2 linked regions of the Macaca mulatta genome follow. The protein of the gene in region 1 interacts with the protein of each later gene in a biochemical or structural test. Links are inferred from orthologs where the notes say so. Each region holds a gene or a part of one and is shown on either strand. Other genes may lie near its edges.

The links.
Region 2: the proteins of PDK1 (region 1) and PDHA1 form a complex in vitro, tested with the Homo sapiens proteins (2 studies listed by BioGRID, with this or other methods). The link is inferred for Macaca mulatta from reciprocal best matches to the Homo sapiens genes PDK1 and PDHA1.

The regions. Positions count from the first base shown.
Region 1 is NC_133417.1:77,481,674-77,485,173, forward strand, and holds part of PDK1 (pyruvate dehydrogenase (acetyl-transferring) kinase isozyme 1, mitochondrial), read left to right. Parts: intron 1-1,927; coding exon 1,928-2,112; intron 2,113-2,399; coding exon 2,400-2,495; intron 2,496-3,500. UniProt on the Homo sapiens protein: Kinase that plays a key role in regulation of glucose and fatty acid metabolism and homeostasis via phosphorylation of the pyruvate dehydrogenase subunits PDHA1 and PDHA2.
Region 2 is NC_133426.1:19,087,383-19,090,882, forward strand, and holds part of PDHA1 (pyruvate dehydrogenase E1 component subunit alpha, somatic form, mitochondrial), read left to right. Parts: intron 1-747; coding exon 748-874; intron 875-2,536; coding exon 2,537-2,628; intron 2,629-3,500. UniProt on the Homo sapiens protein: The pyruvate dehydrogenase complex catalyzes the overall conversion of pyruvate to acetyl-CoA and CO(2), and thereby links the glycolytic pathway to the tricarboxylic cycle.

The DNA of each region.
Region 1 (3,500 bases):
CACCTTCAGCCCCAGCTGATCTTTGCCATGTTAAAATACTGCTCATATCATCTGATTGTTTTCTGATTTTAAAGGAAAGCTACAAGTCTAGGTTTGTAATGTAAAATCTCTTGCTTTTGAAAGATTGGCAGCTAATTAAAACATTTTTTAAAACATAGAAGGCCTATAAAACATGGTTGCAGGTTTCTAGTTTATTCTCTATGGCCTGTAAGATGTCAGTAATATGACAAGTTTAATAACCCATATACCGGAATTGGTAGACCAAAGTATTTGCCATATGCAGCTACCTGCTTATTGCAGTGAAGGGCACCGACAATGTAATGACCATCTCTTGTCCTCAGTTAGTTACACATGTTTTTTGGACTGTCTTTAAAGGGAACAGTAACACTTCATTTTTTTAAACATGATTTTAATCTGAAAATAACGTTCAGCAAGAGTTTACTCCTTGCTTAGGTATTGAGCAGACTTTACATGAATGATGTTTTTTAATCTTTAAAACAATTCATTGAAATAATGCTGTTTGTGCACAAAGAGGGCATGTAGCTTAAGGTTACATAGTTAGCACATGGTAGAATCCAAGCAGCCTTACTTTAGAAGTAAACATGCTATAGAGCCTTCTGAAAACAGTCGTTCAGAGCTGTGGAAAATAAGTAGTCAAGCAGAATAATACAGCTTTGTTTTCTTTTAAGAAAAAAGAAAAATAAATAAAGGAATGACTAGAATGATGAGTTGTTTGTTGTTTTCGAAGAGTTTTGTTGTTTGTATTTTGGTTTAACAGTCTTGTTTTGAAGCTTGTTACTAACTAGGAATTCCAAAAATGTTTTAAGCAGTGGAAACATCATTGGAATAAGTTAATAGTACTCAAGATGATGACTTTGAATAGGAAAACACTCATTTGGAAGTGTAAATTCAGATGGGTTATGTTAGAAAATTGGTTTTGTTACTGCATAATTAAGACTTCTTGGGCCGGGCACAGTGGCTTATGCCGGTAATCCCAGCACTTTGGGAGGCCGAGGTGGGCAGATAGTCTGAGGTCGGGAGTTCAAGACCGGCCTGATCAACATGGAGGAACCCCATCTCTACTGAAAATACAAAATTAGCCAAGCGTGGTGGTGCATACCTGTAATCCCAGCTACTGAGGAAGGCTGAGGCAGTAGAATCGCTTGAACTTGGGAGGTGGAGGTTACAGTGAGCCAAGATTGTGTGATTACACTCTAGCCTGGGGAAAAAGCAAAACTCCATCTCAAAAAAAGAAAAAAAAGATTTCTTTTCTCTTTTGTCTTTTATTTAGTTCTTTAACCATGCAACGTCTTCTAAGTGACAGAAATGGGAAGGCTACTAGATGATTTGAAGATTTATCTTTTAATACAATTGTTTACTTTTCCTCTCCCATTTTATAAACTCATAGAATAAATGAAATGATAATTCTTTTTTCGTTTTTCTGTCCTAAGTGTTTCCTTCTCTCTTTGAACCCTAGGGAATAGTTCTAAAACAGGCAGGCTTTATTGGCTCATTCATCTTGATTCCTTGCAGAGCAGAGCAGGTGTTCCCTAGAGGCAAGTGCTTTGTCTTCTTCTATGCAGAATATCTCTGGAATACCATCCTCTTAGCAAGTGCTCAGATAACCTTAGTTGATAGCAGTTAAAACCATTAACATTTTTAAGATTATGTTTTGTCACAGCCTTACTCTTAGGAAACCAAGAAAATAATTACATTTTGAAAGTTTTATTTTGGAGGTCGTTATACTTCCATAGATTTGGTATATTTTATGATTTGAAATACATTTAAATAAGTATAGGAAAACATGAACTGATTTTCCTTTTAGTAAATTAGGGATTTTTGTCTAGCATAGTTGGTTAAACTTATATTTTTGTATTAAGTTTACTTGTCAAAATATTTGGCTGTTTTGACAGATGGGTTTGTTTAGCTTTACAGATACTGTGATACGGATCAGAAACCGACACAATGATGTCATTCCCACAATGGCCCAGGGTGTGATTGAATACAAGGAGAGCTTTGGGGTGGATCCTGTCACCAGCCAGAATGTTCAGTACTTTTTGGATCGATTCTACATGAGTCGCATTTCAATTAGAATGTTACTCAATCAGCACTGTAAGTGTCCTGAGTCAAGAGAAGCAGCTAAATGAGATGTGGTGGCATATTTTAAATGTATTTAGGAAACTTCCATTTAGGTAGAAAATTTAGTTTTACCTTTTGGCTAATTAAGAGAAGTAAATAGACTGCCATCAAGAAAGGTATTTTTATTGAATGTAAAATACTGTGTTTATCCTAAAGGCAAATATTTGTTCTACTGTTTGGTACAATTTAAACACTATTCAGATTTGGAAAAGAGCATTAGGTAGTTTAGCTTATTTTGTTGGTTTTGTCTTTTTGGATAGCTTTATTGTTTGGGGGAAAAGGCAAAGGAAGTCCGTCTCATCGAAAACACATTGGAAGCATAAATCCAAACTGCAATGTAGTTGAAGTTATTAAAGGTAAATACTGACATTTCTCTTTACAAAAAAGATACAAAAATCAAAGTTACTGTTATTTCTTACTATTAAACAACTATTTGTATCATGAGATAAAATGGTAGGCACCAATGCATGGGTTTGAAAATAACCTTATAGTATTATTTGTGCATTATTTATAGGATGACTATTTTATTGATAGAATTATAGATAGGCAAAGTTTGGTGATACTATAGAGGATATCTTTTTTGTTTTGTTTTGTTTGAGACAGAGTCTCATTCTGTTGCCCAGGCTGGAGTGCAGTGCTGCGATCTCAGCTCACTGTAGCCTCTGCCTCCTGAGTTCAAGCGATTGTCTTGCCTCAGCCTCCCCAGTAGCTGGAGTTACAGATGCTCAACACTACGCCTGGCTAATTTTTGTATCTTTAGTGCAGATAGGGTATTACCATGTTGGCCAGGCTGGTCTGGAACTCCTGCCTGCCTCGGCCTCCTGAAGAGCTGGGATTACAGGCGTGAGCCACTGAACCCAGCTGAGGGTATCTTTCACTTAAAAAAGATTTCAAGTCCCTGCTCCCCTGTTTCTAATTCCTTGCACTATGAGCAGTAATTCGTAACAGGTTGGTTTGAATCCTTTCACGCTTTCTTCTATTTATACCACTTGTACACATACACAATTGATATTGGCCTTACATTGTTGTTTTTAGAAAATGGGGTGCTCTGTGATTTTTCTACAAGTTTGCAGACATCTTGCTGTTCAGTACATCTGGATATACCCCAAGATTTTGAATGGCTGTATGGAATGTATCAGTATGTATTAATTAATTCTCCTGTTGGCGTACATTTAGGTTGTTTTAATTTTTTTGTTACCACCAATACCAGCAGTTCTGCTGTGAACATCCTTAAATACATGCTTACTTTTGCTAGTATTTTAGAGGGTAAGATTCCTAGAATTAAAAACATTTAAATGCATATAAAATTTTGGTATCTCTAAAAAGGTATCAAACAGTGGATAAGAGTATTTCCTAACCAA
Region 2 (3,500 bases), on another chromosome or scaffold:
AGGATTATAGGCGTGAGCCACTGTGCCTGGCTGAAGCCAGTATTTTAGAATTAAAAAGTAGAATGCCAAAACCTGCTATGAAGCTTAGGCTAAAGAATTCATTCACACATAACATTGCCAGTTTTCTGTACCTGTTCTCAGAGTTTTACTATTTTAAAACTTTCTGGCACTGTGATCACCTGTACTGTATATAATTTGGAGAGAAAGGATTAGTTTGTTTTTTGTTTTGTGGGCTTATGTCAAGGGTTATAGAATCAAATACCTATAAGGGCCAGCCAGGTAGAATAAATGAGTGAAGAAGGCTAGGTATACAAAACAGAATGGTGACAGGGACTCGTGCTGAACTGGGACCAGCATGCCCTACCCAGAGGAATGCCATGACTTGGTTCCAGCCAGTTGGTGCCATGTGGAAATCAGGGGTAATGCTTCCTGTTTTCCATGTCTCCAAGAGAAGGCGGAAGTCTGGATTTTCATGTGAAATTCCCCAGTGTTTTAATGTTGACATCTGATGTAGGATTTGCTTTTAGGTCATCATACAGGAGAAAGGAAGGAAGTGGCCCATGTGTGGGTTGCCAGTTTATTGCTTCTGGCTTGGGCCGTCCGCTCTGTATTTTGGTGGAAAATAGCTACTTTCTCTGGTTATTAATGACAGGTTCTACTAGCCCAAATATTTCACTACGGTCTAGGAAACGTTTTTATTTAGAAACATGTATCGTATTGCTTCATAGTTTCTCCTTCCTCTAACAGGAAGCTTGCTGTGTGGGCCTGGAAGCCGGCATCAACCCCACAGACCATCTCATAACAGCCTACCGGGCTCATGGCTTTACCTTCACCCGGGGCCTTTCCGTCCGAGAAATTCTCGCAGAGCTTACAGGTTTGCTGTTGATTTACAGAAAGGGGAAATGAGTGGATTAAGTTTTTAAATATCTCTCATTAAGATGCTATTTTATGAGTTAATATTTAAAGTTTTAAGTTTCTTTTTTTAACCCTCTCTCCTTTGGTGCTCTGGTACTTCTGTTGTGCTCTTGAGTTAACTGACCATTTGTGAAGTTCTCTGGCCCCTCAGGTAAAAGTTTAAAACAGGTTAGTGCTATAAAATCACAATAGGTTTGGTTATCATTCAAGCATGCCAGCAGAAGTCTAGCAGTCATAAAAAAGTAAGTTGGGTTGAAGCTTGGTATGCGATGTAAATTCTAGAAATCTTCTTAATATTCCCCTTTTCTTTGTCCCCCTTGACTATTTTTTTGTTTTGGTTTTTTGTTTTGTTTTGTTTTGTTTTTTTTGAGACTATGTCTCACTCTGTTGTCCAGGCTGGAATGCAGTGGTGTGATATCAGCTCACTGCAACTGCCACCTCCCAGGTTCAAGCAATTCTCATGCCTTAGCCTCCCAGGTAGCTGGGACTACAGGCATGCACCACCACACCCGGCTAATTTTTGTATTTTTAGTAGAGATGGGGTTTCACCATGTTGGCCAGGCTGGTCTCCAACTCCTGACCTCAGGTGATCTATCTGCCTCGGCCTCCCAAAGTGTGCTGGGATTACAAGCATGAGCCACCACGCCTGGCCTGTTTTGTGTTTTTGAGACAGTCTTGCTTTGTTGCCCAGGCTAGAGTGCAGTGGCCTGCCTCAGCCTCCCAAAATACTAGGATTACAGGTGTGGGCCACTGTGCCCAGCCCTTCTTCTTCTTTTTTTTTTTTTGTTTTGAAGACAGAGTTTCGTTCTTTTGCCCAGGCTGGAGTGGCTGGAGTGAAGTGGTGTGATTTTGGCTCACTGCAACCTCCATCCCCCAGGTTCAAGCAATTCTCCTGTCTCAGCCTCCCGAGTAGCTAGGATTATAGGTGCCAAACCACCACAGCTGGCTAATTTTTGTATTTTTAGTAGAGACCAGGTTTCAGCATGTTGGCCAGGCTGGTCTCGAACTCTTGACCTCAGGTGATCTACCCACTTCGACCTCCCAAAGTGTTAGGATTACAGGCGTGAGCCACTGCACCCGGCCCTCCTGGACTCTTGAACTATGGTTGTCCCTCCATATATCCAGGGGATTGGTTCTAGGACCCTTGAATATACCAAAATCCTCAAATACTCAAGTCCTGAAGTCAGCCTTCCATATCTTCGGGTTTGCATCCTGAGAATATTGTATTTTCAATCCATGTGTGGCTGAAAAAAAAAAATCTGTATAAGTTTACCCGTGCAGTTCAAACCCTGTTCAAGGATTGAATATATTTAGTGTACTAGTAGAGGAGAGGTCCTAAGATGTTGGTAACTGGTCAAAAAACCAAAAAAGTCTAGGGTACCATCTGGACTTTTGCTAACATCTGAAGGAAACTAAGTGACTGGAGAGTAGGAAAAGCTGGAAAGGTTGAAGCACATGGAACTAGTAAAAGGACAAGCAGAAACGTGTTTGCCTGGAGAGACAGGTACTTAGATGACTGAATTGGCCTCTGCGTTCTAATGGTTGAGCCACTTGGGGTGTGGTTTGGTTTGCTTTGTAGAGTTGGTTTGTGCTGCACATGTGTATGTTCTGCCATTTCCAGGACGAAAAGGAGGTTGTGCTAAAGGGAAAGGAGGATCGATGCACATGTATGCCAAGAACTTCTACGGGGGCAATGGCATCGTGGGAGCGCAGGTAGTCAAGGACGAGGACTGTGTGCTGCTTTAGATTTGGCCCTGGCCTTTGTCTTCAAAAACTTTCCCAGCCCCAGACAACTTTTCGTGAAGTAGTATAGCCATGTGCTGCACAGTGACACTTTGGTCAATGTCGCATATATGATGGTGGACCCATAAACTTATAATAGAGCTGAAAAATTGCTGTCACCTAGTGATGTTGTAGTGGCACAACACATTACCTTTTCTATGTTTAGGTACGCAAATATTTTGCCTACAGGATTCAGTACAGTCACATGCTGTGCAGCGTTGTAGCCTAGGAGCAGTAGGCTCTACCATACAGCCTAGGTGTGCAGTAGGCTGTACCTTCTAGGTTTGTGCATTACAGTATGGTGTTCACACGACAAAATAGCTTAGTGATGCAATTCTGAGAATATATCCCTGTTGTTAAGCGATGCGTGACTGTATTTTGGGGGCTTGGTTTGCTTTTAAAGACCTAGTGCTTCATATCCTACCATTTGAGCGATGAGTTGAGTAGATTTGGATGGTGATTTATAATGTTTCCTTTTAGGTGTCTGCTATTTTATAAGTAAGCAAGAGCCTCTAGCAGTGGAGCCTACCTTCCCCTTCCTATTTGTATTTCAGTACATTGCCTTATCTTGTCAACTTCATTATGGAGTCCTTGTTCTCATCAGTTAGTGGATGATGAAGAATTAACAGCACAAAATTATATCCCAACTGTTTCTCTTCCTAATATATTAAGATTCTATTATGTGTTTTTTTAAAAAACCTACTTTTTTTTTCCCCCTTTTTTCTTTTGAAATGGAGTCTTGCTAAGCCGCCCAGGCTGGAGCAGTGGTGTGATCTCAGCTCACCGCACCTCCACCCCCGGGT